4 linked regions of the Caenorhabditis elegans genome follow. The protein of the gene in region 2 interacts with the protein of the main gene of each other region in a pairwise test. Each region holds a gene or a part of one and is shown on either strand. Other genes may lie near its edges.

Region 1 (6,928 bases), on a different chromosome or scaffold from region 2:
AGTTTTTTATATATATTTCTCAATCGATTTTTGTTTTTTTTTCACTGGAATAAGTTTTTAAATGCAATTTTCCATGGATTTTCGGCCTTGACTACTCACAATTGAATGTATGAACAATGATCCCTCCTGATGATCTGATTATTCAGCTTCAAAGGATCAGAAGGGTACCTCCTGGTGATCTGATCCTTCAGCTCCGAAGGATCAGAAGGGTACCTCCTGGTGATCTGTTCCTTCAGCTTCAAAGGATCAGATGGGTACCTCCTGATGATCTGATCCTTCAGCTTCAAAGGATCATAAGGGGTATAAAAGCAATAAATCAAGCATAGTTGATCAATTCTCCGTGATAACAAACTTTTGGGTGACAAAGTATCTTAGCGGACAAACAAAAATTACCGGAAACTGATATATTCCAAATATATTTCAAATATATTCCAAATATATTCCAAATATATTCCAAATCTATTCCAAATATATTCCAAATCTATTCCAAATGTATTCCAAATATATTTCAAATATATTCCAAATATATTCCAAATATATTCTGACGTCCTTTTGGCACGCATCATATTTTCGATCGTGAAAGTTTTGAAACGGTTTTATTTTACAAGTTTATAATTTTGGAAACAGAAAATATATTTATATAAGTTTTAACAGCTGCGGTGTGTGTTTCATTAACTTCCAGCTTCTGCCAAATGAATGTTTGGAATTATCCAAAGCCTTTTTTCACCATTTTTATAAAAAATCTGAACAGTGAGTACAGATTTGGTCATATCTCTGTTCCCTGGTACGATAATAACACAATTTCGCACAGAAATTGAGAAAAAGATTAGTAGAATAGGAAATATATTTGGAATATATTTGGAATAGATTTGGAATATATTTGGAATATATTTTAAATATATTTGGAATATATTTGAAATATATTTCGAATATATTTGGAATTGATTTGGAATATATTTGAACTAATATCAGATTAAGACTGAATATTTGACAACTCATGTTTATTGTATAAATTCAAATTTCAAAACTGCAGAGAATGGGATATTGCACGTGGCTATTTGGTAATTTGAATGCAGAAAAAATTCCAAGGAATATGAAGTGGACCAAGGAAAATAAATTGGAAATAGCAACTTGAACATTAGGAAACGGGGCTAAGTGAATTGAAAATGAAATCACATGAAAAATAATACGAAGGTAAAATTACTCCAAAATCATTGTATCTCCAACTGCCATCCCCTCCATGGAGGCTCCATGGCCCTCCATTCTCAGGATCCATAAGTCTGGTTAAAAACAAGCTCGTAAACTAGAGATTTTAACAAGTTGTGTGAAAATTGAATTCTCTGAATCTAGGTAAGTGTCGGATGAAGTCTAGCAGTCGGAAAAATGTACTGCTTGGTCCCATGACCTGTCGGCTGCCTAATACTAGGTACTATTTGAAAGAAATTACGTCTAAAATCTAGCTAATTAAAATGATTACTTGACAAAAATAGTTTGCCAGGCTGAAGTTTGAAAGATAATTATGTTCCAAATATACTTCAATCCTAAGTAAAAAACAATGAATATCATAAATTATTCATTTGATTCGAAAAAGGCACCCACAATAAAGCGAGAAATAAGGGGACAGGGAATTTTGGAGAAAAAACATGGGATAGGAAGAATCTTTTAACATAAAAAACCACAGAACAAGTTGATTTTGTAGGAGAACAAATTAGTTTAGTTTTTGTTAGCTTCAGGATCCACCATCCGTTCGCTGAACTGAAGAATTGCGGGCCCTCCACGCACTTCTGCCTCAAGAAGTGGAAGTTTGACGACGTGGAAATCCTCGTAGAGCTCATCGATCTGGAAAAATTGATTTATTCCGCATCTAGCAAATCACGACAGAGTCAAAAATGCACTGTGGTTATTCAATATTAATTTGCTCAAAGTTTCTAATTTAATAATTTATCAAACTTCTCATTTAAACTCACATCTGTCAAGTATTTCGACTGAATCGCCTGTCTCGATGCACATTTTCTGCATGAAACTGTTCCATTTGCATCGGTATCCGGAAAGAGAAGTTGATTCACAATAATATTATGAGTATCGATTCCTTGTTTGGACAACTCCTGAATAAGTCGTTCGGTTTCGTAAAGAGAGAGGAATTCGGCAATGCAGACGCAGACGAATGTGGTGCAATTCTGTAAATACATATTTGAATGCTCTGCAGAAACTTTGATGATTTAAAATCTCTGAATTCAATATATATCAAGCTAGAATTTACCCTTGATATAATTGAAAAGGTTAAAAAAACATATTACCAAGATGCAGAATTTTACGACAATTTTCGCGTCTGGGTGATATATCTCCGTAGTAATTTTAAATATCACTTGAATCTGAAAAACTAACAGGATCCTTAAACTGTGCGTTCATCTTTTTCACAGATTCTAGAGTCGTTGTCATCTTTTCAATCATTTCATTCATTGATCCACCTCCCATTCCAAACATTCCACCGAATTGATTCATCATTGGTCCAAACATTCCTTGAAGTGACAGAATTTTCGTAAATACTTTTTCCAAAAGTGTTGGGAATTGAAGAAGACGAAGAGTGTGCCCAGTTGGAGCGGTGTCAAAGACCACAACGTCGAAGTCAAGAGAGTCTATCAACCTGAAAAAAATAATAGATTTTTTAAAAATCAGAATCATTGACACTCACTTTATCATTTCCCCGAAACTCATTGCCTCATCAATCCCAGGAAGTCCTCCAGCAAAACTTTGAAGAAAATCTTTTCCCATCGAGAATCCACCGCTTCCACCTTCGTTTTGTGCAGCATTTTGCAGCATTTCTTCGATATTCCCCATTTCGACGCCTTCTCCGTTCGGATTTGAATCGATTTCCATTGCAAAGAGATTTTTGAAACCTTCGACCAGTGTTGGAGTTTTTGTGAATTTCTGACTGAAGGCATCAGAAATGTTGTGGGCGGGATCGGTGGAGATGAGAAGAACTCTCTCACGAACTTTTGAGAGTTGAGCTGCCAATGAGCAACTGCATGTCGTCTTTCCGACACCTCCCTTTCCACCCACAAAAATCCATTTTAGCGTTTTTTGTTCGAGAATATTCTTGATAGAGGCTTCCAGCTGATCCGACATTATTTCTGAAAAAAAAAGAAGTTTTAGGTTTATTTGCATTTAAAGTTTGAAATTTTAAAAAGAAATGTCTAGCCTTTTGCAGTTTTTTTAATTTTTCAAGTAAAAATGGATACAAATTTTTATTGTTTTTCTACAGTGTTTTCTCGACTTGATAGGAGTTAAGTTCTTTAATAAATAACTTTTTTGATTCGATTATGAAAATTCCGAAAGTGTTTATTACAGTACTCCAAAGGCGCACAACTTTCTGCATTTAACAAAATTTTCTCGGGGCGAGACCCAGGTTACAAAACCTCAACATTTTATGTCTGGGTAATATTTTTTTTTGGAGAACTGAAGAAATAATAATAAGGTAATAGAAAACCATTAGAACACGGATAAAACTTGAAAAAAATGAAATAATTTCTAAAACTTTATTAAATAAAAATCGAAAAATCATTCGGACGGTTGTTTCTGTGAAATGTGAATTAGACGATCATCGATATGAACTGGTTCGGAGCTCGGAGTCACTTGCACACCACTGGCCTTCAATCTGAAAAAAATGAATGTGGGTTCCATGTCATTGCAACGATTTTCCGATGTAATACCTCAATTTTCGATTGTCCCAAAGGCAATCCGGCATCGGGTAAGACAGAAGATACCTGAAAATATTGAGTTTTTTATGAGAATTTTCCATAAAATGAAACTTACAGTTTCAATGGCGCAATGTAATAATCCAAAAACTCCAGAATTCGCTCTTTCAGACTGTTGTTTGGAACCTGAAATTGGAAACTTTTTGTTAAAGTTAACAAAAATTTGAAGAAAACTCACATATTTCGGCGAATATTTGCTCTGCCGCTCCACGTCATTCATTAGAAAATATTTTGGATTTGACTTCATTAGGAAAAAATTCAAAAAGTTTTATTTTAATAGTTCGTCAAAAAAACGAAAAAGTCTCTGTTCAGTTTATAAAGAGAGTGATGGAGGGTAAGGGGTCACGTGGAATAAATATTACAGTTGTTTTCAAATAATGTTTCTATTTTCAAACAAGGAAAACTCGGATTTAAAGCTGATCTCTAAAAATACTCCGACGTGCAATCACAGCTCGAAATGGGAAATCTAAACACAGGATGAAGCTTCAAAAGGTCAAATATGCAAAAAAAGAGACAAATGATGGGAACCCGTAAAAAACGATCTCGTCTTCAAGAAGATATGATCTTAAAATTCACAAAAAAATCTACATGGCATCGAAATGGAATCGATGAGATTGTTGTTGTCGTTCGTATCGATCTTCCTTTTTCTCTCGATAATGTAAGAATACGACAACCATTAGAAGCATACAGCATACGAGAGCAATGACGGCAAGACTCTGGAAAATGAGAATATCGATTTATTATAGAGACGTGGAAATGTGCCCCATGGCCAACTGACTACGCTCCGCCCCCGAGCCATGGGTCTCGTTAGTTATTTGGCAGCAAACCCGTGAATTCAACGAATTCGTATTTGCAACCATTTTGAAATGTTTTTCGTTAGTTTTAATGATTTTTATGCCGAAATTATGTTTAAAGAATGCATTAAAAATGAAAAGTTTTTTTCTTTTATTTTTTAATTTTATTTTATCAATTTCCGTCGTTCCCATTTGGAGCGTATGTCCACGTCTCCATAATAATCTTACCTGAACAATAAGAGCTGATGGTGTGACGTAGAGCCGACTCGTCCAGTGTGGATATTGATCCGATGGTGGGAGAACAATAATCCGAGAATTTGGAACAATCTGTTTAAGACTGTGTTTCCAATCTTCTTTACGATCTGCGTATTTCGGAATGGCAATATTCAACTGAAAAAAAGATTATTTGGAATAATTGAACGAAAATATCTAGAAGATATGAAATTACCTCATCCACAAAATTTGGACTTCTTCCAAGACCATACAACAAAAATGGGAGATAAAGTGCTCTATTTGATGAAGCCGGAACTTGACATGCTACACTCTGTGTACTACCTCCCCATCCATCTGTCATTGAGAAAGAAGCACATGCACCAGTCATACTGATACTCGATCCAATCTCGTTTGATTTTGGATTGCATCGATCACTGCAAACTCCTGTGAAAACTTGAACTTTCAAGAATGTTGTATCTCCTTTATCAGGGCAGTAGATGAATCCAAAACGTGTCTGACCACCGTATTCATACTCAACAAGAAGATCCAATGATCCATCTTCAAGAAGATCAAAAAATGTTCCCATTTTGATGACTCCGAGAGACATATTTTTTGGTTGAATATTCTCTTGAGCTCGGATTTCGAATCGTCGTGTTCCGTTCTTTTCACATTTTGTACATTCTGCATTGTCCATTACTTTGATCACAGGGCGAGTGTTGGCCTGAAATTATTCAAATTTTGATTAATGAAAGGTAATTTTTTTTGCATTATTCAGTTAACTGAAGTTATTTTTGGGAAATCAAGTCTGATCTTCCTATTTTTACTCTTCTCGTACTATTAATTAATTAAATTTTTGAATTTTAGGCCATGTCCTAGTATTTTCTCGTTACTTCCCGTTATTTCTAATGAAAATCGATAACACTATCAAATTGATTATTCAATGAAAAACAGGAAAATGAATAAACTATGTGATTTTAGAAGTGTCATTCATCAGCAGAACAAGATACATTACTGTATTTAGGAGTGAGTGGTCTGTTAATTAAAGTAAAATGCGTCTCTGCATCTGTTACAACATACCGAGGGAAATCAAGAAAATGCGAAAAATTACTTGAAATCCAAAAATTTAATTAGTTAATTGTCCGAGAAGAGTACACGGCCGCGTTTCTTACAAAACTCAAAGAAAATTAAAAATCGAAATTCAAATTCAATAGACGAAGAGGTTGATTTTTGGAACTTTTAAAGAATCAGATATACATAACGCCTTATCAAGCCATAGAACATTTTTTAAAAGTATACAACCACATCCTGTTTAAAATAAAAATTGTTAAACTCACTCTGGTTGCCTGCGCAATAACCACCATATCAGGGAAACTGTCCAACGAGAATTCTCCAACGCGGAATATAACTCGTGAAAATGGTTCTTTAATAACTGTATAATCTTGCATATCACAGGCCACCAATCCCCAAAGTTTAGTCTTCGACCAAGAAGCCATTTGAGTAATGTGTGAGCACTCATCTTCACGGCAGATTGGTACTAGAATGTCGAGTTCACCGTCCGAATCAACATCCATAACAACTGGAGCACCAACGAATGGATATTGTGCTGGAGTCAATTTAGGAACCCAATCTCTAAATTGCCAGCTGATTTTTGTCTTTTGCCAAACCTGAAAAATATATTGCATTTCAAACTACTACTGTTAAAATAGACTTACACTCATGAAAAGTGATCCATCGCTTTCTTTGGTCATGAAGACAATATCAGCAATCAGGTCGGCTAAAACGTGAAATTGTTAGATTCCAATTAAGAAAATATAAAAATTTAAACTCACAATTCAAGTCAACAAACAAGTGCGGCATTCCTGGATAAATATTTAATTTTTCGGGAAAAGCGACGAATTCATGTTTGCAACCATTCACCAGTAGATTGTATTTTCCTTCTTTATTGAATCCGGTACAGAACATTGATCCATTCGGATAGAATCCAAGAACATCAGTCCATCCATCATCAGAAACATCAATGGCCATTGCATGTTGTTGAAGCATTGCCACGTGGAATGGACGGAATATTTCCTTCTCGTCTTCAATTTCTGATGTCCAGAGAGTGTGATTGTAGATTTCAGTGTCTTTATCGCGAATTGATACCTAGAAGAAAGTCATAGATTATTA
Region 2 (6,898 bases):
GAAAGATAACATCGAAAAATGCAAAATACATAAGATGCAGGAAGAACACGGTTTACATGTGGAAGTTCCAACAAATTGAAAATAGAGTAATTTTAGATAAATTTCGCATGTCGTTGGACCAAGATGCTGCAATTCCAGATTTTTCAAAGGTTATGCACAAGGTAACATATTTCTTATCTGAAATGTTTTTTTACTTTTAATACTTCAGCAAGATTTGGTGAGATGCTATTTTCGACGAGAGCTGGCGAATAAAAAGTGGAAAACTGTGAAGTAATTGCATATTTAAATCAAATATTTCAATAATTACCATTCAACTTTTTCAGGCAACTGCTCTCACGTTATCCTAAAAATATCAAGTTATATGAGCATATTAGTGCTTTCCTGGATGCTGCAAAGCTTGAAAATGCAGAGCCCATTGATATTATGCAGGTTTTTATGAACTATGCGCAAGTCGATAATCCACGTTTCATGGAACAAACTGAATTTGATGAAATCTTCAAACAAGTGGCCGAAGCTTGTTCTGCAAAAGTATCCGTAAAGTCAGAGCTAGATGTCAAAAAGACTTACATTTCCGAAAAAGAAGGAAAGATACTAAAAGAAAAGTGCGATAAATATGTGGAAAGTATGAAAGAAGGTAAAATATTATATCTTACATCTGTATCTGTGGTTTTTACTTATTTGCAATTTTAGGGTTCGTCAAAAAGGAGGAATACGAGAAAATTCGGCAGAAAGTTTTGCGATGGATGGAAGAAAGAAATATTCGAAATGGAGAGAATGTGGTTGTCGTTGATGCATTGAATTTCGGTTATGGAGTGGATCCGAAAGAATGGGATGATATTTCCAGCAAATTCGAGCATGTATTCTTTGCAACTAGACGGATATCAAACCAAAAACTACGGAAAGAAGTGATGGAAAGATATAATGGAAATGCTCTGTTTTGTGATAAATTGTGAGTTTTCAAAGATCTGGCTTTTGGTTTTAGTTCCATTTTTGAAAATCAATTTTTTCAGGTCCACAGATGACCTCATAATAATTCGAATGGCTCTAGAATTCGGTCCGGAGACGTCAATTGTTACAAATGATAAATATACTGATCATCGTTCAGCAATCTGTAATGGTGATCAAAAGTTGGAGAAAATTTTCGACGATTTTCTCACTGATGCATCACATCGACACTTCCATGGCCGAATCGAGACGAGACGGAATTTCAATATTCGAATTCGTAATCCGGATAATAGAATATGGATACTGCCCGTTATGAACTCAGAAGGAAAGCTGTCGAGAAACATTAAACGTTATAAAGTTGAAGTTTTTAGAAATAGTTGATATACGTGTTTCTAATTGTGTATTGTTTTTGTCATGTAATAAACACACTATTCATGATCCTCGATTTAATTTTTTTTGACTTTGAAAAGAATATAAAACTATCTACTAAAATTTATTCCAAATCAGAAATTGAAAGTGATCTTCTTAGGCGGCGGCCTTCTCCAATTCAATCAACTTCTTCAATCCATCGTACATCTGACGAACTGCTTGATACTCGGTAAGCCCAAGACGCTGCTTGTTCGAGATGTCATAGATTCCTTCCTTCGATTCCGAATGTTCTCCATGAATTCCACGAATCTGAAAATTATAATTTGAAAACTGAAATAAAACTTTAAAAATACCTGAAGCTTCATGTCACTGCAAATCTTCTTGAAATCGTCCTTTGCCGAGATCTTTGGCAGCTTAATGTGAACCGATGCACGAACAGTTGTTCCCAAGTTGGTTGGACAGAAGGTGAGCCATCCGAGACGTGGATGACGAGCGAATGGAGCCTTGGCAGCGACGAGGTTCAGTCCTTTGATGAGTCTGGCGAGAACTTCACCAACATTTCCTCCATTTTGCATAGAGATGATACGCAAGTGATCCTCCTCGTTGACCCAAACCAAGAAAGTCTTCTTCTCATTGTGGAAGATTCCACGTCCGTTTGGCCAATAACGGTTGGCATTGGCAGCCTTCAAGAAGCGATCACCTTCTTTGAAGAGGAAGTGATCAGCAATGAGCTTCTTCTTCGTCTCCTCATCCATTCCAGTCAGAGGGTAGTACGTTCCCTTGAGCTCGGGATCGGTGATGCTGTTGAAGATCTCCTTCATACGGGTTTCCATCATCTTGTAGTTGGTCTCAGAGAGACATGGATTGAATGGGTATCCTTGCAGAGAACGTCCGCAGCGGATACGTGTCGACACAATGAATTTGCCCTCTGGGTCGAGATCGGCAAGTTCTCCAACCTAAAATGTACAAAATAGAATTAAAAACAATTAAAAAGTAATTACATTTTTCTCTCCCAAATCCATTGCTGGTTGAGTGTCGGTTGCCTTGAATCCATTGTGGTACTCTTCGATCACAGGATTGAAAAGATCCGCGAACAAGGTGTAGCTCTCCGCGTCTGGAGCATAGATTCCGACTCCCGAATCGAGGTTCTCTCCGCCCGACTGAATGACATCCAAAAGAGTTGCTCCGAGACGGGTCTTCTTCGACTTGTTCTTGGCGACAACGTCCTTTGTCAAGTGCTTCTTGAGAAGTGACGAGCAGTCAGAAGCTCCTTGGAGTTTCGTGTAGACCTGGAAACAAAAACAAACGTTAAGAACTTGAAAACTTAAGAAAACTCACTTCTTCAATCGATTTCTGAACTTCCGGGGTCGCTGTCATATTCGATGATGAAACGTGTAACAGGCGGTTCGTTCTTTGAAGAGCTGAAGCTGTTAGACTGATGATTTTTGGAAACGAAGCCCTTTTATACAGACGATAATGTGGCAGAACGTGGGACCGTGACATTCTATATAATACAGTGAAAATGTATTTTGAAAGTTCAAATTACATCGGAGTTCTTAAAAAAAAACTTCACGTATTCATAATTAAACATATTTTTGGGGTATAGCCCGCTATAGCGCCAGTGGGGAAATTGGTTTAAAGCACGCCTATGATACAATTTTTTGAAAGTCGATAAAATCTCAGTTTTTTCTTAATTAAATGTTCGGAAGAAAAAAGAAAAAAAAACAAGTTAAATGCAATTTTCAATAAAAAAAACGGTAAACTGTAAAACAAACTACTTTCAGATTCGTCGTCACCGGAACGTATAATTTTACACTTGCACGCGTTTTCAGTTAACTTTTAATGATCAATTTGCATTTAACCTGCTTTTTTCTTTTATTTTCAGAAAAGAATATACAAAAAATGAAAAATTCAAAGAAATAATGAGAGAAAAAGTAAATAAATGATGAAATGAAAATAATGCAAGCGCGCTCTATCGAACAAACAGTTTGGCGGCAGGTTCAATTTAATTGTCAAAAACTGATATTTTTCTGAGATCAATTTTTAATAGATCATATGCAATTAAGAAAAAATTGTTGAATTAAAAAAAAAATACTCGGTCATTGTATACAATGGTACTACAATTGTAGTACCATATGCGTGTATTACAGAAATTTTCCCACTGGCACTGGCGCTGGATAGGGCTACTTCAGATTTTTTGTTGGTATACTTATGTGTTTTTCATAAATTAAAAAATTACACAGCAACTTTTCAAAGTTTATATAAAAAATATCCCCAAATGTCTAATCCGTGACGTTCCAAAATTAGACCCGCCCACATCTTGAATTTTGTCAAAAGCTTTTTGGTATAGGTGCGTTTCTTTTTATTATCTTGAATTTTCAAACTATTTTTAAAACAATATTTTCTTCCAATCAATTTTTATTCCCACACCTTCTTTACCAAGCCATCCTACGTAATCTGTTTCTTCAGATTAAAATCTAGCACTTTATTCTTCTATTTGGTTTTTTCAGTTGCGAGATTTCCGAGAATTGCCCAATTGGGAAATGATGTATGAAAGTTTTTTCAAAGGAAAACATTATAAAGGACTGCATAAATTATTTAGAAGAAACAAGGGAACCACACCCACTAAACGAAATGCCCCGTGGGCAATCAAGAGAGTTTTCTCACACATTCTTATGTTTTGGAATATTCAAAGTGGTCCGGGGTTTATCTTCATAGCAACTTATCTTCATGTGTCTAATATTAACTACAAACGGTTTCAGAATTAAATTGTTTAATGGAGAAGGGTGCCAACCAATCAGCGACGCGCTAAAAACGTTTATTGGTAGAAATTTATTTTGCGCGCGTATTTAAAAATTTTTCTAGCCCTGGCTTTTGTATTTTGAAAAGCCCTTTCCATGAGTTTAAAATAGCCTACTTTCCTCTAGAAACACTGCTTAATGTTCAAATTACGTAACTTACCGTAATCCAGTTCTTCCAGAAGACTATAGAAAAGTGTTTGGAACGGTTGAAACCTGTCACTTTTTCTTATCATTTCACACATTCACAATTTCTTCCATCATTTCCCCGGACTTTCTCTTCTTTAGGATACTATCCTTCTCCTTAACCCAATAACTTCTCCTTTTTTCCAGTCTCCCATTTTTCCGTTATCCGTATTCTTTCCCTTTCTTATCTTTTTGTCCCTCATTTTCCACTCATAGTCGTCATCAGGCGGCATCTATCAGATCCAGTTTGCCAACACACGCGGGAAAACGAAAAAACCAAAGAAGAATAAGAAAATGGCAGAAAAGAGATTTTTGTATGTGTGTTTGTGTGTGTGTCCTGTGTGTATGTCTGCCAATGTCTGTTGCAGATGCTACTGTTGTTTTATGCTTACTCTTTTATTTTAATAATCTATTAACTAACCTGAATAGATTTTAGATTTATTTTAAAAGAGTTTTGTGCTCTTAAAATTAAATTCACAGTCAGAATAGTCTACACATTTTGGCCTTTGCTTTGTTTAAATTTTGTGCTCACAACATCTTTCAAAAACAGAGCGCAGAGTGTCTGAAAATATTGTTAAATCAGTTTCTAGAAATATACCTCGTATTTGCCTGCCTACGTGGTTGCCTGCCTATCACCTATTCTCAGCAGAATTTCGGCATTTTGTAACCGTAGAGTATGTTTAGATTTCTAATTCCCAGTTCATTTGTTGGAATTTTAAGAACTGCGTGTAGGCGCAACGCAGGCGTAGGTAATATTGAAGGCCTATGGTCAAGCTTTTTGTGGCTTTGACAATTTGATAAGTTGAAAAATATAAATAACGAGCAATATGTATTTCTCACCAATTTTCTGAATTTCAGTAACTTTACAATAAAAAATATATATTTTAAACAAAACACAACAATCATTCTTCTACTCTTCTTTTTTTCAATACTTCCAAAAAGTTTTCCATTCAATTTCTGATATCATTCGTCTAAATTCCTATCTGTCCTATTTGCTTGAACTACTCCAAGTGTTATCCTCAAAAAAAAAGTTCGCAAGGAAACCAAAAATTTTATTGGTTGCCAAATTGGTTGATAAGGATCTATCTGCGAAGTTCTCTGTCATGATCTTGATCTTTACGATGTTATTGTTTGAAATTGGTTATGGCAAAAGAAAAGGAACATTGTGATAACTTTGAGTAATTGATATTTCAAACTTTTCAAAATAAAATTGAGAAAGTACCCTAACTATGAACAATTTATTTTGAAATCAAGGCAAATACATAGTTTCTTTTAAAAATTTTACCGCGGAGCAACTTTCGCCCGAAATCTTTTGGTAATTTCAAAATTTATTAAAATCCGCAGTTACAAAGCCTTAAAGATGTCACTGAAATGTCACTGAAAATTAAAAAATTACACTATTTCGCAAAAAAAAAAACACACACACCAAAACATGAGTTTAACAATCTCCAGAACTTCGGCAACTTGGCTGCCGCAATAATTGCTGGTTTTCAAAAATATTTGCTAAAAATGCTAAAAATATCTGCCTACCTACCATTAAACTCTACTCCCCCTTCCTATCAAACTTTATACTTTTCCAAACCACAATAAGTGAAAACCGTGTATTACATTACTTTTGGGGGATCAAAAAGTTAAATATATTACTACGCGTCTTCCTTGTTCAAAGCATAATCGTGTCTTGAACTTCACTTTCTAAGAATAGAGAGGAAAGAGGCGGAGTCAGACACTTTAATTCACTTTCAGTCAAATGACCCTCTCAAGATGGGAAGAAAGAGGTACATGTAGAGTTTCAAGAATTTACGAAAGTAATCACACATTACTATTTTATAGTGGAGGTTAGAAAAAAAACTCTGAAAAGTTACTCATAAGTTAGGCTATGCAATTTTGGAAATTATTTTGGTACAAGCATTCACCGGTTCTACATTCAATTTTTTTAAAGAAATTTCAAAAAGTTATGAAGAACGAGCTTAACAGATTTCTAGGCCACTGATGACGTCACCTTTGTACTGAATATAGCTCGTTTCGACGTATCAACCATCTACGACCTTACAACCCGTGCATTAGTCTGGGTCATTTTTAGGTAAAGAAAATTTATAAAAATAACTATTTTCCATTTATTCTCCTTCTATTAACTGTTATAACTTTCAAATATAATTCCAGATCTCTAGTATTATGACTGATTATCTGCGTGGTTCCTGTTTTTTCTAGCCCTCTGCATAAATCAATAAATCAAGGGAATATATCCACAATGGTCACTTCCAAAATACAGTTCCAAAAACACTTTGTTCTAATTCTTTTTCCATCTCAAAAACCTATTCACTTATATTTTTTCAAGAGGTGCTTCTTCTTCCAAACCACCACATTTTTGCCATTTTCCTCTTTCTTATGATTCATTCCATTCCGTTTCAATTTTCGACGACCTTCAAAACTCTTTGAAACTATTCATTTCTGAACTTTTTCTCTCTTCTTTTTCACCTTTCACGCTAATTCAACGAATAAGTTTTAGTTTCGGGGTCAGTTTCAGTGTAAGAAAGAATACGAAAATGACTGTTTTATGGTTATGACCTCCTCATTCGTGAGAAGAGAAACCGCATTTAGTG
Region 3 (7,907 bases), on a different chromosome or scaffold from region 2:
AAGTCGAAAAAAAAATATTTAAATTTTCCAACTTTCAGACATTTTTTAAAAAATATTTACAAAGCAACGATTTTTCTACATTCTATCACTAAATTTTGATGAAAAGGAAAAACTACTAAAAAAAACTAAATTTTCCTCATAATTCGTTCATTGCGAAGAAATAATAATAGACTATGATTTTCTCGATTCCCGTTTCTTTCTCTGAATCCACACATCATATAAATCGAAATCATCGTCAACGCAAAATTAGTCTCACAATGGTTATTATAATGGTTTCACTGTTGTTATGTCGAATTATAGGCGAAACATATTGTTGTGTTGCCTCGACTGATGATTCTCGAACTTTCCGTCTCGTCATATAGTTTGGGAGAGAACTATTCTATTTCCAATATTTTCGGCGTTTTTTTAGCGTTTTTCAATGGAAAATGTTGCTAGTTTGGTTTTAAAATTGTTATAATTAGCAAAGTTGAGGATTATAATTTTAATTTGAGATCCAGTCAATTATTTTTTTTTAAATTATTTTCTAGTTTAGTTTAAAGGTGGCCTTCTGGGTTTGTTGTCTTAAACTGTAAACCTCAAAAGTACGAGAAAATTTTACTGATTGTATATTTCAGCTTGAAATCGCGAATTTCATTTGTGCAGATTTTTCAAACACCGAATTTTCGCGCCAGAGCCGCCATGTGTCGATTTACGAAAATTTTGATAATTATCGGATGCTGGTTTTCATTTTTCAACGAGTTTCCTTTATTTTCGTCGGCTTTTGCCAAAGTTTTTTTTTGAAATTGAGTTTTTTAAGGTTAATTAAACAGTATATTATTAAAACGTCAACAAAACTTTCAGCCGGGAAAGATTCAGATTTTCCGTCGAGTTGTGACCATCGGAAATTTTTTGTTCGTTTTTTGATAATATAATGTTTAATTGACGTTTAAAAACACATTTTCAAAATAAAAACTTTGGCAAAAACAGACGAAAATGAAGGAAACTCGTTAAAAATGGAAATCAGCGTCTTATAAAGATTTAAAATTTCATAATTATATTGTAAAAAACGATTTACGAAATTTGTGTATATTTATAAATATACAAAAATCTCGTAAATCGACACATGGCCGCCCTGGCGCGAAAATTCGGTGTTTGAAAAGATTTCAAGCAGAAATATAAAATCATCGAAATTTTTTCGAATTTTTTCACTCAGATATTCGAAATCAAGGGAAAAATTGGATTCATTTAAAAATATATTGATCAGATTTCAGTACTCCACCTTTAAATATAAAATAACTTCTTGACAAAAAAGTCTACAAAGTCAAATAACACGTCTCTTGTATTATGGGGTTATTCAAGTAGTGTCGGAAAATTAAAAAGTGTAGAAAAATTACGTCACAACTGTATTCAAGTATATAAAAACATGTATTTAAATACATTTGTGACGTCACAAATGTATTTAAATACATTTTGCTAAATTACTTGAATAACCCCATTAGTCACCGATCCAATTAGGTACCATCCACTAGACAATCGAATTATAAATTCGTCATATATAAGCATCATATATAGAAGTTTCCCACACGTGGTTCCTCTCTTGACCTACACCTACCTCCCCGACTGTGTATGTTTTTCGTCTCGCGACGACGAGGACCGTTTCCCTTTTTCCATTTCACTTTTTCCACCCATCGATTCAAAACAACACTGTCTAGTTTCCACGTCATCTAGTATCTGGCAAATGAAGTGATGAAATCACGAAACTTACCACAATAAAACAAAAAAAAAACTTTGCCGTTTTGACCTTCACTCCCTGGTGATTTCTCGATTTCTCCTTCCCTTCTCGTGAATAGAAGAAGACACAGAGACCGATACCGATAAAATCGATAAAGCCACCACAACCGCCGCCCATTCTCGATTTCGATCCGCCGGCCGGTTCCGGTTTAGTTTTCGGTTGTTGTTTTCCCACTGTGAACTATTACGGGAATAATAAATCATGAGAATGCGTACGTGGAGCATTTTATTTGACGCGTGATTTCTCTTAGCGAAAACTACAGTAAGAACTCAAATAACAATAGTTTTTCAAGTTCTTACTGTAGTTTTCGCTAAGAGATATCGCGCGTCAAATAAAATGCTCCACGAACGCATTCTCATGATTTATTGTTCCCGTAATAACTAGCAAAGTCAACTTTTGACTTTACAGCTGTTCAAATTGCTCTGTTTTTTTTTGCTCTGAATATATGAGCCTGAGCCATATTGAGCTGGGCTATTGAGTCGAGTGTTTCCGGTGGTTCCCCTATTTTGGCTGTTTTGTGCTCACCTTGACGGATTTTGTTACATAATCCTTTTTTTTTTCAAAAAAGTGTGCGGCAATTGCCGTTCGGCAAATCGGCAAATTTCAATTCCGGCAATTTTCTGATTTGTCGGAAATTTCAATTCCGGCAATTTGCCGATTTGCCGGAAATTTCAATTCCGGCAATTTGCCCATTTGCCGGAAATTTAAATTCCGGCGATTTGCCCATTTGCCGGAAATTTAAATTCCGGAAATTTGCCGATTTGCCGATTTGCCGGACACTTCAATTCCGACCATTTGCCGATTTGCCGCAAATTTCAAGTCTGACAATTTACCGAAAGTTTCAATTCCGACAAGTTGTCGATTTGCCCGAAATTTCAATTCCGGCAAGTTGTCGATTTGCCCGAAATTTCAATTCCGGCAAGTTGTCGATTTGCCCGAAATTTCAATTCCGGCAAGTTGTCGATTTGCCCGAAATTTCAATTCCGGCAATTTGCCCATTTGCCGGAAATTTCAATTCCGGTAATCTGCCAATTTGCCGGAAATTTCAATTCCGGTAATTTGCCGATTTGTCGGAAATTTCAATTCCGGCAAGTTGTCGATTTGCCGGAAATTTCAATTCCGGCAAGTTGTCGATTTGCCCGAAATTTCAATTCCGGCGATTTGCCGGTTTACAGAAATTTCAATTCCGATAATTTGCCGATTTGTCGGAAATTTCAATTCCGGCAAGTTGTCGATTTGCCGGAAATTTCAATTCCGGCAACTTGCCGATTTGCAGGCAAAAAATCATTTGCAAATTATCATTATTATTTTGTAAATCAAAAAATCTTGAGATATATCAAAACTATGCTGATTTTAATTTATAAAAAAGTGAATTTTTGCCGACTTTCTAGAAATCTGAAAATTTACTTATTCTTTACTCACAAGATTGAAACAAAAAATCATTTTTGGCTAATTTCCCCTGCTTGAATTCCCTCCAAAAAGTGAACTGCACGACCAATCAGCGTCTTCGAACTCCGCCCACTCCTTCTGATTGGCTGAAAAGGGGCCGGAGCGAATCGCTGATTGGTCATGCAGATCTCGTTAAGTTAGATTTTTATTCTTTCGCGATTTGTTCAATCTTTCGCGATAAATGACGAAAAATACTATAATTTTTATGATGAATAAACGTTTTTCTCTCTAAGATGATTTCCCGTACCAATTTGAAAAACGACACTTTTTATTGGTTTTTCAGATGTTCCGGCATCTATATATAGGCCTCATCAGTCTTCTAGTCTTGACCGCCGGCCCGATCGAGGCCCGAAGATCTTCGAGTGGCGGTGGCAGCCTGTCAGGTGGCGGTGGAGGTGGTGGTGGATTCTCGAGTCGCGGACAGAGTGGATCAAGAACTGGAGTTCAACAAGGAACCGGAGGAGGAGGATTCAACAATAATCAAGGAGGATTCCATCCGAATCAAGGATCCGGTGGATTCAATCAGCCACGACCGAACAACAATTTCAACAATAATCCACAGGGAGGATTCCATCCGAACCCGAATCAAGGTGGCTTCCACCCGAATCAGGGAGGATTCCATCCAAATAATGGAGGGTACGGGCTTCAAAGTTTGGCTTAAAATACCTGAAACAGTCTCTAAAATTCAAGAAAATCACGAAAGAAATTGGAAAAAAGTCGAAAAATAATTAAATTTTCAACTTTTAACCGAAATTTTAAAGGTGGATTTTAGTGGAGTACCGAAATTTGAGACGTTGCCTTTTTAGACTAAAATTGGTCCAAAACTACCGAATTTGTTAATGAGAAGGTCTGAAAATTTCTCAAAAAAAAAGTTATGGCGGTTCAAAGTTCGGCAAAATAAGGCCCATTTTCAGCTAAAATCAAAATTATTTACATCTTCTCGGTGTCGCAACGTCTGAAACCTAATTTTTATTTAATTATCACTTTTTAATGAATATTGTGGTTTTTGATTGGGCGTTTATTCGCTGATTTAAGTACATTTATGGTTTTTGGGGCACAAATAAAAGTTACATTTTGTGCCCCAAAGACCATAAATGTGCTTAAAACAACGAATAAACGCCTAATCAAAGACCACAATATTTATTAAAAAGTGATAAATAAATAAAAATTAGGTTCCAGACGTTGCGACACCGAGAAGTTGGAAAAAATTTGAGTTTAGCTGAGAATGGGCTTTATTTTGCCGAACTTTGAACCGCCATAACTTTTTTTTGGGAAATTTTCAGACCTTCTCATTAACAAATTCGGTAGTTTTGGACCAATCTTGGTCTAAAAAAGCACAAAGTCTCTAATTTCGGTACTCTACCTTCAAATTTTTCAGAAATTTTAAGAGATTTTTCTGAAAATCTAAAAACCAAACTATTTTGATTCTAAATTTTAGTGGAAAAAAATTCGACACCCCTTCTTCCAACGTGGTTGTCAGGTTGTCTCATTGCGGTTCGATCTACAGAAAATGCGGGAATTTTCCCCCCCAGGAAAATGTTGAAAAGTCTGCGTCTCTTCTCCCGCATTTTTCGAAGATCAAACCGGAATGGGACACTTTGACACATTTTTTAAGACGTCTTGAAAATAAAAAATAACTCAAAATTCGAAAATTTCAAAAAAAATTCAATTTTGTACCAAAAAAAAACTGAATTTCGTAATGTCAGACGTCTGGAAAATTTTTTAAAAATTTATATTTTTGTTCAAAACTCAAAAAGCCCCTATTTTGAGCTAAAATTTCGAAATTAGCGTTGATTTAGGCACATTTTCGGTCTATGGGTGCACAAAATTCTGAGAATGCGTATTGCACAACATGTTTGACGCGCAAAATATCTCGTAGCGAAGACACTACAGTAATCCTTTAAATGACTACTGTAGCACTAATGTCGATTTACGGGATCTCGATTTTTGAAATAAAATAAAAAAGTTTTTTATCGATAAATAGTGTTGAAATTAATTTATCGATCCTTAAATTTTGCAAAAAAAATTATTGTCGCACAGAAAACGGGGTGGGGCGTAACTTTCGCAACACTGCCGCACGGTGCTAGTCTCCTCCCCTTTTTAATGCTTTTCCTGTTGATTTTTTCAATAAATTTTCCATTTTACTTGTATTTTTCTCTTTTTTTCGAAATGGATAACATTTTCATTTGAACAAAAAAGAAAAGAAAAATACAAGTAAAATGGAAAATTTATTGAAAAAATCAACAGGAAAAGCATTAAAAAGGGGCGGAGACTAGCACCGTGCGGCAGTGTTGCGAAAGTTACGCCCCGCCCAATTTTCTGTGCGACAAATTTTTTTTTGCAAATTTTCATGAATCGATAATCTAATTTCAACAGTATTTATCGATAGAAAATTATATTAATTCATTTCGAAAATCGATCCCGTAAATCGACATTACAGTAGTCATTTACAGAATTACTGTAGTTTTTTTTTTCGCTACGAGATATTTTGCGCGTCAAATATGTTGTGCAATACGCATTTTGTGCAGAAATAGACCGAAAATGTGCGATTTTAGGTCAAAATAGGGTTTTTTTTCGAATTTTGAACCAAATTAAAATTTTTTAGAATTTTGCCAGACGCCTGACATTACGAAATTCAGTTTTTCTGATAAAAAATTGGATTTTTTTTTCTTTTTTTAGCTCAAAGTAGTGGTTTTTACGAGTTTTGTGTCCAAAATTGATATTTTTTTATGAATTTTGCATCGAACTGAAAAAATTAAAAATAAATAAAAATACATTTTCAAGGAGCCTGACATCAACCAAAAACCGTCAAATTTTTCCAGATTCCGTCCAGGCACCGGTCTCGGCTCTCAATCGAGCAGTGGAACATTCAAGAAAGCTCTGATCGGTGGAGCTCTCGGAGCAGCCGGAGGAATTCTAGCCTATGAAGCCGGAAAAGCTATTATCAAGTCGGCAACCGAGCCATTTAATTACAATGGACGTAACTATAATTGGGATAATCACGGACAAGTTCGCAATGGAGAATTCCAGTGCTCAATTCCGTTGAGCCAGTTGACCGCGCAGGTGGGAATCAAAATTTTGAGTTTTTTGCCGGAAATTTGCCGGTTTGCCGGAAATTTCAATTCCGGCAGTTTGCCGATTTGCCGGAAATTTTAATTCTGGCAATTTGCCGATTTGTCAGAAATTTCAGTTCCGGCAATTTGCCGATTTGTCGGAAATTTTAATTCCGGCAATTTGCCGATTTGCCAGAAATTTCAATTCCGGAATTTTGCCGGTTTGCCGGAAATTTTAATTCCGGCATTTTACCGATTTACCGGAAATTTTAATTCCGGCAATTTGCCGATTTGCCAGAAATTTCAATTCCGGAATTTTGCCGGTTTGCCGGAAATTTTTAATTCCGGCAATTTGCCGATTTGCCGGAAATTTTAATTCCGGCAATTTGTCGATTTGCGGGAAATTTCAATTCCGGCAATTTGTCGATTTGCGGGAAATTTCAATTCCGGCAATTTGCCGATTTGACGAAAATTTTAATTCCGGCAATTTGCCGGTTTGCCGAAAATTTTAATTCCGGCAATTTGCCGATTTTCCGGAAATTTCAATTCCGGTAATTTGCCGATTTGCCAGAAATTTCAATTCCGGTAATTTGCCGATTTGCCAGAAATTTCAGTTCCGGCAATTTGCCGATTTGCCGGAAATTTTAATTCTGGCAATTTGCCGATTTGCCGGAAATTTCAATTCCGGTAATTTGCCGATTTGCCAGAAATTTCAGTTCCGGCAATTTGCCGATTTGCCGGAAATTTTAATTCTGGCAATTTGTCGATTTGCGGAAAATTTCAATTCCGGCAATTTGCCGGTTTGCCGAAAATTTTAATTCCGGCAATTTGCCGATTTGCCGGAAATTTCAATTCCGGCAATTTGCCGGTTTGCCGGAAAAAAATTTGCTGGAAAATATTCCTAAAACTCGGAACTTCCATTTAAAAAATCGATTTTTTATTCTCTAAAAATCCCATTTTTAACGAAATTAAAAAAAAATCCGAGAATTTTCAATTTTTGGAATTTTTTAACATTTTGTAAAAAATCGATTTTTTTTGTGTTAAAAACTTGTATTTTTTCATGAAAAATTTTTATTTTCACCGAAAAAATCTGAAAAATTCAATTTTGCCGTCAAAAAAGTACCAAAAACTCTGAATTTCGAGAAAATTTCAATTTTTGTCGAAAATTTAGTAAAAATCCTAATTTTCTGTATAAAATTATCTCGAAAACTCGAAATTTATAATGAAAAATTCCAAATTTTGTCGAAAAACTTGAATTTTTTTTGAAAAATCGATTTTCACCGGAAAAAATTGAATTTTGCGCAAAAAAACTCGGCAAATTGCCGGAATTTAAAATTTCCGAAAAACCGGCAAACAAGATATTTGCCGGAATTGAAAATTTTCGGCAAATCGGCAAATTGTCGAAAATAAAAATTTCCGGCAAATCGGCAAACTGGCAATTTTCCGAAAATCAAAATTTCCGGAAAATCGGCAAACCGGCAAATTGCCGAAAATAAAAATTTCCGGCAAATCGGCAAACTGGCAATTTTCCGATTTGCCAAAATTTTCACAGTAAATTGTTCCGTCTTATCAAAAATCCCTCTAAAAACTTCCGGCAAATCGGCAAACTGGCAAATTTTTGAAAATGAAAATTT
Region 4 (11,145 bases), on a different chromosome or scaffold from region 2:
TAACCAATTTTACGAAATTTTTTAACAAATTTTTTGAGAAATTGCTAGTTAAAAATTAATTAAAAATTCTCAAAAAATCCCAAAATTTTTGACAATTTTTTAGGGGAAAATTGCGTTTTTTAACTTCTCATTTTCCTTTTTTTTGAGATTTTTTTCGGAAATTTCGGGTTAAAAATTGAAATTTCTCAAAAAATTCCAAAATATTTGAAAAATTTTAAGATTTTTGACAATTTTTAGGGGAAACTATTATTTTTAGAATCAATTTTTCACTTTTATTTCCAAGTTCAAGGTCAAAAAAATCGAAATTTTCAAAAAATTAAAATTTCCCAAAAAAAAAAAGAAGCAAAATTTCTCTTTAAAAAATTGAAATTTCCAGAAAAATCCGAAATTTCCCGAAATTTCCCGACATTTTCAACCCGAAATTCAGAATCAGCATACTTTAATTAACAATTTTCAGCTCATTTAAACGAAATATCGTAGAATCCGGTGCCAAGTACGCAAACACCGAAGCTCTGCGTACTTCTGAGGCTACAGTAACCCGGAAATTTTCAAAATTGAGCTAGAGACTCCAAAAAAAAGACGACTAGGGGCGAAATTTTACGAGGAACTCGAATTTTGCAGTGTCGATTAATCTGCGGCTCGTGTGTACTCCCCGAGGAGAAGTTTGCGTTGTTTTTGCAAGGAAATTCACGTTTTAGGCTAAAAGTAGTCCATTTTTGCTGATTTTTTGATTTTTAACGATTTAAATCACCTAATTTATTGATTTTTTAAAGTTTTTAGTGAAAATAAATGAATTTACTGCTGAAAATGCACTAGAAACCAGAAAAATCGTACTTTCACCGGAAAAAAACCTATGAAAATGAGCAATTCGAATAGTAAATTCGGAAATTCTCCTCGGGGAGTACACGAACCGCGTAAATCGACACACGGTCATATTTTTGCATTCGAAAAAAAATGTGAAAAATTATATTTTCAGCAGTTTTTTTCGGAAAAATCGTCAGAAATAAGTAGAATTTTTCAATTTTAGGCATAAAATTGTCTAAAAATCATTTTTGAAGGTATTTTTCAAAATTTTTTCATGTTTTTCAGCTAAAAATGCTTTTTTCCATGAAAAATTATTCTTTTCCTCGAGGAGTACACGACTCGCGTAAATCGGTACACGGCCATTTTTTGCATTAAAAAGTGAGGAAAATCAATTTTTTCGGGTGGGGAAAAGTCTTTTTTTGTCATTTTTAAAAATGTTTTTCATCCATTTTTCATGTTTTTTCAGCTTGAAATGCTAGGAAAATCGAAATTTTCCCGATTTTTTCCAAATTTCCACTCAAAAAATTGCTTTTCTCTCCGAGGAGTACACGATTCGCGTAAATCGACACATGGCCATTTTTTGCATTAAAAAGTGAGGAAAATCACTTTTTTTCGGGGAAAAGTTTTTTTTTTTGGTATTTTTCAACAGTTTTTCATGTTTTTTTCAGCAAAAAATGTCTAAAAATTGCAGGAAAATCGAAATTTTCCGACGTTTTTTTTTTTCAAATTTCCACTCAAAAACAACCGCACCATATCATCGGGTTTCGGGTGCAAAGTGGCCAAATCGTGTCGATAACAATACTCGCCAACTTCTACGGCAATTTTCACCGAAAGTTCTCGAATATCCTTCAGACGTGGATATACACGTGAATACGTGTTCAACGACTTCTCCGATACGGCTTCGGCGACCATACGGGCGGCCAGAAGGAACAGCTTGTCCGGAATGTTTTTGGTACGGAAGAGGACGGCTCCGAGAGCAACACCCGGGAAGATGTAGGCGTTGTTTCCCTGTCCTGGCTTATAGAGTTTTCCATTCATTTCGACATTTTCGAACGGGGATCCGGAGGCGAAGAGGACGGCTCCCTGCAAAAATTGGGTATTTTTGGAGGGAAAAATAACTGATTTTTCAGATTTTTCATTGAAAAATGATTTTTAAGATTAAAAATTGACATTTTTCCAAATTTTTCCATAGAAAATTAATTTTAATTCCATTTAAAATCATTTTTCCACGAAAGAGCTGAAAAATATAAATTTTTATTAAATTCTAAAATCATTTTTTCAACTAAAAATCTAAAAAGAATAAATTTTAAAATTGACATTTTCCACAATTTTCTTCGAAAAAATTAACTTACAATTGGAAGAAATTGTACCTTTTTAAAGATTTTTCTGTTAAAAAACAAAATTTAATTCAATTTAAAATCATTTTTCCGTAAAAAATCTGAAAAAACGACGCAACTTTAAATTATAAAATTGACTTCAATAAATTAAAAACTAAAACATTATTTTAAAATGATTTTTTTTTAATTAAAATTGGCATTTTCCAGATTTTTTAAAGAAAAATAAATTTAAAATATTCTCTTTGCCGTGGAAAATATTAATTTTCAATTAAAAAAGGTTAATTTTTGATTTATAAAGTCACTTTTTAAAAGGTAAATCTGAAAAAAAACGGTCAATTTTTGAATTTCAAAATAATTTTTCCATGAAAAATCAAGCGAAAATTGGCAAATTCTACATTTCTCAACTAAAAAAGTGCAGATTTTCTCCATATTTTTCCAGTTTTTTTTTCCAATTTTCGTTATTATTTTTATTACTATTTAAAAATTACTTTTTTCCCAGATTTTTCATTTAAAACCGCTCTAAATTCTAAAAATTGATATATATTTTAGATTTTAAAATTTAAATTTTCAGATTTCCAGATTTCTCTTTGAAAAGCGACTTTAAAATTACTATTTTTCAGGTTTTTCATTGAAAAATGGCTCTAAATTGTAAAAATTGAGATTTTTTAAGTTTTTTATTTGAAAAAAAAAACATTTTTTCATGGAAAATCTGAAAAAAAAACGGTTAATTTTTAACACAAAAAGTCCGGAAAATTATACATTTGGATTTAAAAATTTTTGATTTTTTTTCCATGAAAAAGCTGGAAAATAATAATTTTTAACTAACTTTTCATTGGAAAAATCTGAAAAACGGCGAATTTTTGAATTTAAAAATTCACTTTTCCATGAAAAATGCAGTAAATTCAGCTCAAAAAATCTGAAAAATTCAGATTTTCTCCATATTTTTCCAGTTTTTTCTCTAAATTTACATATCCCGTACATTTGTGCAGCGATAAGCCGTCTCCGCAGTGCATTCTGCTTTACTTGTAGGGTTGGACAGTGCAAAAATGATTGGCCTCGGGTTCAGCCGAGCCATTTCCTTAATAATATCCTCCGTAAATGCTCCAGCCACCGTAGATGCTCCGATGAGTGCTCCAGGCTTGACAGTCTTCACAACTTCCAGCAGATTCTTGGTATCCGGAAGATCTTTAGCGAATTTCACATGTCTCTCGCCAAGAGATTTACTACGAGACGTCGTGATGAGTCCTTCAATATCAACCATATAAATCCGACCGCAAGCTTCTTCCTCCGACAATCCCTCGTCCATCATCTGTCGGACACACATTTCGGCGACTCCGGTGGCGGCTCCACCGGCTCCGAGGAAGACGATCCGTTCCTGGGAGAGCTTCTTCTTGGTGATACGAGTTGAGGCGAGCAGGCCGGCGACGACGACAGCGGCGGTACCTGGAAATTTGCAAAAAAATTTTTTTTACAAAATTTATTTCTAACTATTTTTTAATTTTTTTTTTTAATCAAAAATTTCAAATCTGAAATCTGAAAACAAAAGAACTTTTAATTTTTAATTTTTAAAACTATTTTTTAAAGACCTTTTTTTTTTGTTTCCTATTTTATATTGAAAAAATCCAAATTTCCTGGGAAACTATTATTTTTAGAATCAATTTTTCACTTTTATTTCCAAGTTCAAGGTCAAAAAAATCGAAATTTTCAAAAAATTAAAATTTCCCAAAAAAAAAAAGAAGCAAAATTTCTCTTTAAAAAATTGAAATTTCCAGAAAAATCCGAAATTTCCCGAAATTTTCCGACATTTTCAACCCGAAATTCAGAATCAGCATACTTTAATTAACAATTTTCAGCTCATTTAAACGAAATATCGTAGAATCCGGTGCCAAGTACGCAAACACCGAAGCTCTGCGTACTTCTGAGGCTACAGTAACCCGGAAATTTTCAAAATTGAGCTAGAGACTCCAAAATAATTACATGGCTAGGGGTAAAGAAATTTTACGGAAAACTTTTACGGCGGAATTTTGCAGTTAAAATATAAAGTTATAAAGGAATATATCCCCTCAAATTTGCTTCACTATTTTTTTGAAACTCCAAAATTCGAGTTTCCCGTGAAACTTCACCCCGGGCTGTACTTTTTTTTTCGAGTTACTAGCTCAATTTTGAAAATATCCGGGTTACTGTAGCCCCGAAAGTACGCAGCGCTTCGGTGTTTGCGTACCAGACACCAGATTCTACGAGATTTCTTCGTCTAAATGAGCTGAAAATTGGCGCACAGGGCAATAAAAGTATGCTGATTCTGAATTTCATATTTGAAAACAGTGAAAATTCAGATTTTTTTTGAAAAATTTCGGCCAAAATGCAATTTTTTTTCTCAAATGTGCATTTTAAAGCCTTTTTCTCCGATTTTTTCGCTTTTTTTCCTCAATTTCCCCCCTGCCAAATTCTACCTTGAATATCATCATTAAACATGCAATATTCTCCCTTATACCGATCCAACAACCGATACGCATTCTGATTTCCAAAATCTTCAAATTGAATCAGCGTATCCCGTCCGAACCGCTTCGTGGCCGCCTTCATAAAATTATCGACGAGCGTATCGTATTCGGGACCTCTAACACGCTTTCTACGGAGCCCCGTGTAGAATGGATCGTTGAGCAGCTCGCTGTTATCAGTTCCCACGTCGAGAATCACCGGGAGACACCATTCCGGGCGAATCCCTGCGAGCGCAACGTAGAGTGCAAGTTTTCCAACGGGAATTCCGATTCCATAGGTTCCCAGGTCGCCGAGGCCGAGGATCCGCTCTCCGTCAGTGATCACAATTGCTCGGACGTTCTCTGTCGGCCAATTTGCAAGAATCTGATGGATTTTACTAATACTATTATCATTAATAGTAATGTAGAGACCCTTTGGGTTACGGTAGATGAATCCGAAATGCTGACAGGCTTGTCCTACGGTAGGAGTGTACACAATTGGCATGAGCTCCTTCACATTATCGCAGAGCACTCGGTAGTAGAGCTTCTCGTTACGATCCTGCAACGAGTCCAATTGAATGTACTTGGCAAGGTTGTCAGGTTGCTGGCGGAGTTTTGTGATGATACGGTAGGCTTGTTGCTCTTCGGTCATAAATGCGGGTGGCAGAAGCCCGTGAACTCCGAGATATTGACGTTCGTGGAGGGAAAAAGCCATTCCCTTATTGAGCCCGGGCGACTTGAGCAGGTCGATTCCTCGCTTCTGGGGTGTGGTGCGTTCCGGGCGGTAGAGCTTGTGAAGGGCCAGAGTTTTGGGATCGGAGAGATCCGGCTCGTTTTTGTCGCTCAGGCATCGTGTTGATGTGGAGAGACGGCGGATGCTGGAAATTTGGGGATTTTTGGTTTTTCATTGAAAAAAATGGCAAAAATTCAGATTTTCCCGGAGAAACCCATTTAAAATGACCGAAATTCAAATTTTTCGGAAAAAAAAATCCATAAATAATGGCTAAAAATTCAGATTTTCATGGAAAAAATTTATTTAAAATCGTTAAAATTCAGATTTTCCAGAAAAAAAACTATTTAAAATGGCTAAAAAGTAGATTTTCACGGAAAAATGTATTCGAAATGGCTGAAACTCAGATTTTTCTGGGAAAATGCCATTAAAACGGCTAAATTTCAAATTTTCCGGAAAAAAATCCATAAAAAATGACTAAATATTCAGATTTTCCCGGAAAAATCCATTTAAAAGGCTGAAAATCGGATTTTTTGGAAAAAATTTTTTTTAATGACTAAAACAGTAGATTTTCACGGAAAAAATGTATTTGAAATGGCTGAAACTCAAATTTTTTAAATATAAAAAATGGCTAAAAATCAAGCTTTCCCAGAAAAATCAATTAAAAACGGCTGAAATTCAGATTTTCTCCGAAAAAAATTCATGAAAAATGGCTAAAAATCGGATTTTCTCGGAAAAAATCCCTTAAAAACGGCTGTAATTCAGTTTTTTCCAAAAAAAAATCCATTGAAAATAGCGAAAATTCAGATTTCTCCTGGAAAAACTCATTCAAACGGCTCAAATTGAGACTTTTTCCCGGAAAAATACATTAAAAATAGCGAAAAATCTGTTTTTCCAGAAAAAAAACTATTTATAATGACTAAAACTCAGATTTTTCCGAAAAAAAATTGATTACAAATGGCTTAAAATCAGATTTTCCAGGAAAAAATGCATAAAAAATGGCGGAAAATTCATTTTAAAAATGTTGAAATTTTAGATTTTCCCGGAAAAAATCCATTAAAAATTGGCTGAAATTCAGATTTTTTCGGAAAAATCCACCAACTGCGGCTAAAAATCAGATTTTTCTGGAATAAAACCATAAAAAATGTCAAAAATTCATTCAAAATGCCAGAAATACAGACTTTTTCGGAAAAAAATCTAGTAAAATGGCTGAAATGCAGATTTTCCCGGAGAAAACCATTTAAAATGGCTGAAGTTCAGATTTTTTTAGAAAAAATAAATTTAAAATGATTAAAACTCAGATTTTCCAAGAAAAATTGGGCAAAATCGCAGAAAAATCGCAGAAATTGAAATTTTCATAGGTTTTTATCGAAAAAATCTACAAATTTTTTAAATACTCGTCAAAATTCGTAGACTTTTTCAACGAAAACCTGTAAAAATTTCAATTTCTGCAATTTCTCGCAGAAAAATCGATATTTTACGCATTTTTGCCGAGACCATCTGAATTTCACCCATTTTTCATAAATTTTTTCCGAGAAAAGCAGAATTTCAGCCGTTTTAAATGGATTTTTCCGGGAAAATCTGAATTTTTAGTCATTTTTAATACATTTCTCGAATTTCAGCTAATTTCAACGCAAAATCCTCCCTACCTGGCAGGCGAAAGACGGCTCAGCATTTTTCGTGATTCCCGCACGGTTGTGAAACCCAAGAGCAAATGAGAATTGATTCTGAAATGAGACGGAAAAATGTAAAATTTCGATAAAAACTTTTTTTTTTGAAACACGTGAAATAAAAACGGTGACAATTGATAAGAAAAATGAGTGCATTTTATCAATTTTTATTCAGAAAAAATTATGGAAAACCTGAAAATTCGGGAAAACTCGCGGTGAAACTGGAGAGACAATTGCCTGAGAAGCCACAAATGGGGGCGCCCGTCGTCTATCGATCCACGTATTCTTTCGGGATAAACTATGTGCGAGAGATCTGCACTCAGCGGAGAGACGCAGGGAGAAAAAGAAAACAAAAACACGGGCGGAACTCTTTTCTTGAAAAAATGAATTTTTATTTCAAAAAGTAAGATGGAAAATCGTTTTTCCTTCGAGTGGCGGCGAAATGAGTGCTTGGGGGAGCAAGTATGCGGTGAGAGGAGGGAAGAGGGAGAAAAAGCGAGAAAAATGATGTTTTCCCGTGTTTTTTTCTTGTTTATAGCGATATTTTTCGATCAAGGTGGCCTTGTCATCGAATTAGCCGTGATCTTTGGGGTTTTAATTGGAAGAAACAGATATTTTAATGCGATTTTTTGAATTTTCCACAAAAAATAAAGAAATTAGTTTATTTTTCCTCTCGAAAACCGACAAAAACTCAAGAAAATAACGAAAATCAATGAAAAAAATAAAGAAAAATTGTCGTCAAATGTGGCGCATTGGCCGCAAAGTACGCAGTTGCCGTGTCAATTCACCGGCGCCAATTCGAATTTTGAAAGGTTTTTTCATTAAAAAATAGCTTTTTAAAGAGAATTTCTGGATTTTGAACTGTTTTTTCATTAAAAATAGCTTTTTAAAGAGAATTTCTGGATTTTGAAAGGTTTTTTCATTAAAAAACAGCTTTGAAAAGAGAATTTCTGGATTTTGAAAGGTTTTTTCATTAAAAAACAGTTTTTTAAAGAGAATTTCTGGATTTTGAACGAGTTTTCCGGTTATTTTCAATATTTTCCCACTCCCAACGCAGCTGTCAGCTCAACACGTGTTCACAGGAAGTCAACAAATCGGATAAAGTGATCTTTGGCCAATTTTTCTGATTTTTCGACGGAATTATTTGATAAGAATGCGATTAGTGTGTTGGCATTTGGAAAAAAAAAGGTTTATTAGATAAATTGATCAATTTCGGGGAAAACATTTAAAAGTTTCTGCAAAATAATAGGGAAAAATAGCGAAAAATATTTAAATGACAAAAAAATACAGAAAAAAAACAGAAAAACAGGGATAATTAGAGATTCTTCGACTTTTCGTACAAAAAAAAACTGGGGGGAAAAGAGGCGCAGAGATCACATATTTGAGGGTAGACGGGCGGGAAAGAGAGAATATATTACATTTTGACAAGAATTTTTTGTCAGGGACTATTTAATAGTAAATTTTAAAAAATCGAATATTTATTTATTTATTAAAGCTATTTTTTGAGATACGCGTTCAGTTCTCGCTTCGTTTTCAGCCTGTTCCGTGGATGGCGGACTTCTCGGCCATCTTCCAGTCGGACCGTGTACTCGATCATCTGTCCTTTTCCACGGAAGTACGCGTCGTAGACTTGCTTGTCGTCCCACACTACTTTTACCTGCAAAACAAATTGGGGAATTTATTGATTTTTTTGGGGGTTTTTAGGACTTTTTTATAGTATTTCCGGGCTTTTTCTTTATTTATAATTTATTTAAAAAAACAGGAAAACCCATTAAAAATGACTAGAAGACTTGAGTTTTCCCTAGAAAAATCGTGATTTTAAAGGGGAAAATCTGAATTTCGGCTGTTTATAATGAATTTTTCCCGAAAAATCTGAAATATTCAGCTGAATTTTAGCTATTTAAAAACAATATTTTCGAAAAAAAAAATCGGATTATTAGCAATTTTAAACAGATTTTATCGGGAAAACCTGAATATGAGCCATTTTTAATACATTTTTACAATTTTTTTGTAAAAATCTGCACAATTTATAGTTTTTTTTTCGGTTTTGGCCTGAAAAACTATAAATAAGACGATTTGTGTGTTAAAATACCGAAAAGAATTGCCCGAAATTGAGGATTTTATCGAAAACCTTGTCCTCGAGGACTACACGAGCTCTTTAACTCCAAAATTCGAGTTCTCCGTGAAATTTCACCCCTGGCTGTACTTTTTTGGAGGCTTTAGCCCAATTTTGAAATTTTCTCGGTTACTGTAGCGCCAAAAGTACGCAACGCCGCGGTGTTTGCGTACCAGGCACCAGATTTGACGACATTTTGTTTAAATCAGCTGAAAATTGGTTCACAGGGCAATAAAATCACGCTGATTCTGAATTTCGTATTGAAAATGAGAAAAATTCGATTTTAAACACTAAAAATTGTATTTTCGGCGTTAAAAAATCGGAATTTTCCACATTTCGATTAATTTTCCAACATTTTTAATATGAAAATCAGAATCAGCATGATTTTTTAGCCCCGTACTTCATTTTTCAGCTCATTTAGACGAAATTCCGTAGAATCTGGTGCCAGGTACGCAAACACCAAGGCGCTGCGTACTTTCGGGGCTACAGTAACCCGGAATTGTGAAAATTGAGCTAGAGACTGCAAAAAAGTACAGCCAGGGGTGAAATTTCAAGAGGAACTCGAATTTTGCAGCAAAAATCATCGAAAATTTGAGGAAATTGACGATTTTTTTTGAAAATTTCAATTTCCTGGTGGAAAATCAATATTCCCCAGCATTTTTAATATAAAATTCAGAATCAGCGTACCTTTATTGCCCTGTGAATTAATTATGAGCCAATTTAGACGCAATTTCGTCAGATTTGGTGCCAGGTACGCAAACACCATTGCGCTGCGTACTTTCGGGGCTACAGTAACCCGAAAATTTTCAAAATTGACCTACAGACTCGAAAAAAGTACAGCCAGGTGTGAAATTTCACGGAAAACTCGAATTTTGCAGTTAAAATACCGTTTTAATGGTAAAATGTATGGTGGGAAGTTCAAATTTTTCAAATTTTTTGTTGCAAGATATACTCACTCTCGCCCCATACTGATGATCTCCGTTCTCACAGAACAGGCATTCACACGAGATGATATCCTCCACGTGATTATCACGACTACAGCTATTATCAAGGAAGTCAACGACAACGGTCTCCTTCTTATCAGCTCGTACGATGGCTCCTCTCGTGAACAATTTCTGCGGCGGCTCCACCACGTCCTCCACAAATACAAAATCGCCGACTTTCACGTTAGTATAGGCCTGCTGCTGCGTCGTCTTATTCACGAGATACGAGTGCTCGTGCTTATGACAGATCATCACAACGCCACGTGGATAGTCACGAACTTCACACACAAATCCAACACGGCGAGCACACGTGACATGAGCCAGTGTTGGAAGCGATGTGGTCGCCTGCTCCTCAATACAGAGCACACACGGAGCCAGACCCTCGTCTGTTCGATGGCAGACGACACATTCCCAACGGGAATTCTCGTAGAGATCGCCGAGCTCCGCGCGATACTCTTCGCTGAGCCGCCGGGGGGGCATCCGTGGGGTCTCCGATTGCTGTCGGGGCGATGGCTCGACGAAGCATGCTCCAGGCCGGTTTGGGCAATCAAAAATGGCTCTTCGATTGAAAAGAGCACACGCCACGTGAGCCCACGTCGAGTCTGTGCCGATTTGGCACGGGATTAGTGCTCCGCCGCGGAGTTCGCAGAGCTGGCAGGACGTTGTTCGGATCTCGACGTCGGTTCGGTTTCGGCATCGTGGGCAGCGCCAGGGCTCTCCGGAGCTTGTGACGTCATCGTCGTCGCCGCCGCCGCCGCCGCCGCCAGAGCAGCAATGAGAATGGACGGTGACGTGGCAGTTGGAGCAAGTGAGCAGACGGTCCAGCGGTGGTGGCGGCTCGTGGTGATCCTCGTGCTTTTTGGTGTCGGTTTTCGAGAAGCACCATTTTGGGATGAGCCGGCGAGATCTGGAATGATAGAAATTGAGAAATTGAGGAGAAAACCAATTTTTCAATGATTTTTTGAATTTTTTACACCAAAAAATCAGCAGTTTTTCATCGAATTTTAAGCTAGAATAGGCTGAAAATCTTT

The links.
Region 1: the proteins of ZC434.8 (region 2) and asna-1 interact in a two-hybrid assay, tested with the Caenorhabditis elegans proteins (one large-scale study listed by BioGRID).
Region 3: the proteins of ZC434.8 (region 2) and pqn-83 interact in a two-hybrid assay, tested with the Caenorhabditis elegans proteins (one large-scale study listed by BioGRID).
Region 4: the proteins of ZC434.8 (region 2) and men-1 interact in a two-hybrid assay, tested with the Caenorhabditis elegans proteins (one large-scale study listed by BioGRID).

What each region holds. Positions count from the first base shown.
Region 1 is NC_003281.10:8,891,287-8,898,214, reverse strand, and holds asna-1 (ATPase asna-1), read right to left. Parts: upstream 3,134-6,928; 5' UTR 3,127-3,133; coding exon 2,693-3,126; intron 2,645-2,692; coding exon 2,386-2,644; intron 2,178-2,385; coding exon 1,968-2,177; intron 1,840-1,967; coding exon 1,714-1,839; 3' UTR 1,561-1,713; downstream 1-1,560. Other genes in the region: ZK637.4 (uncharacterized protein), read right to left, coding at 3,559-3,655, 3,711-3,764, 3,814-3,881, 3,934-4,002; lnkn-1 (Protein linkin), read right to left, coding at 4,340-4,471, 4,778-4,939, 4,998-5,483, 6,097-6,426, 6,475-6,536, 6,592-6,904. UniProt on the Caenorhabditis elegans protein: ATPase required for the post-translational delivery of tail-anchored (TA) proteins to the endoplasmic reticulum. Recognizes and selectively binds the transmembrane domain of TA proteins in the cytosol.
Region 2 is NC_003279.8:10,346,629-10,353,526, forward strand, and holds ZC434.8 (putative arginine kinase ZC434.8), read right to left. Parts: upstream 2,742-6,898; 5' UTR 2,692-2,741; coding exon 2,653-2,691; intron 2,604-2,652; coding exon 2,316-2,603; intron 2,271-2,315; coding exon 1,668-2,270; intron 1,624-1,667; coding exon 1,471-1,623; 3' UTR 1,427-1,470; downstream 1-1,426. Other genes in the region: coa-6 (PRORP domain-containing protein), read left to right, coding at 1-50, 97-161, 209-270, 324-634, 691-949, 1,011-1,326.
Region 3 is NC_003281.10:13,095,052-13,102,958, reverse strand, and holds the start of pqn-83 (CX domain-containing protein), read left to right. Parts: upstream 1-3,503; coding exon 3,504-3,856; intron 3,857-6,042; coding exon 6,043-6,283; intron 6,284-7,907.
Region 4 is NC_003280.10:14,226,784-14,237,928, forward strand, and holds the start of men-1 (Malic enzyme), read right to left. Parts: upstream 7,073-11,145; 5' UTR 7,021-7,072; coding exon 6,995-7,020; intron 5,494-6,994; coding exon 4,592-5,493; intron 3,585-4,591; coding exon 3,121-3,584; intron 1,888-3,120; coding exon 1,555-1,887; intron 1-1,554. Other genes in the region: jmjd-2 (Lysine-specific demethylase 4), read right to left, coding at 8,511-8,672, 10,088-11,021.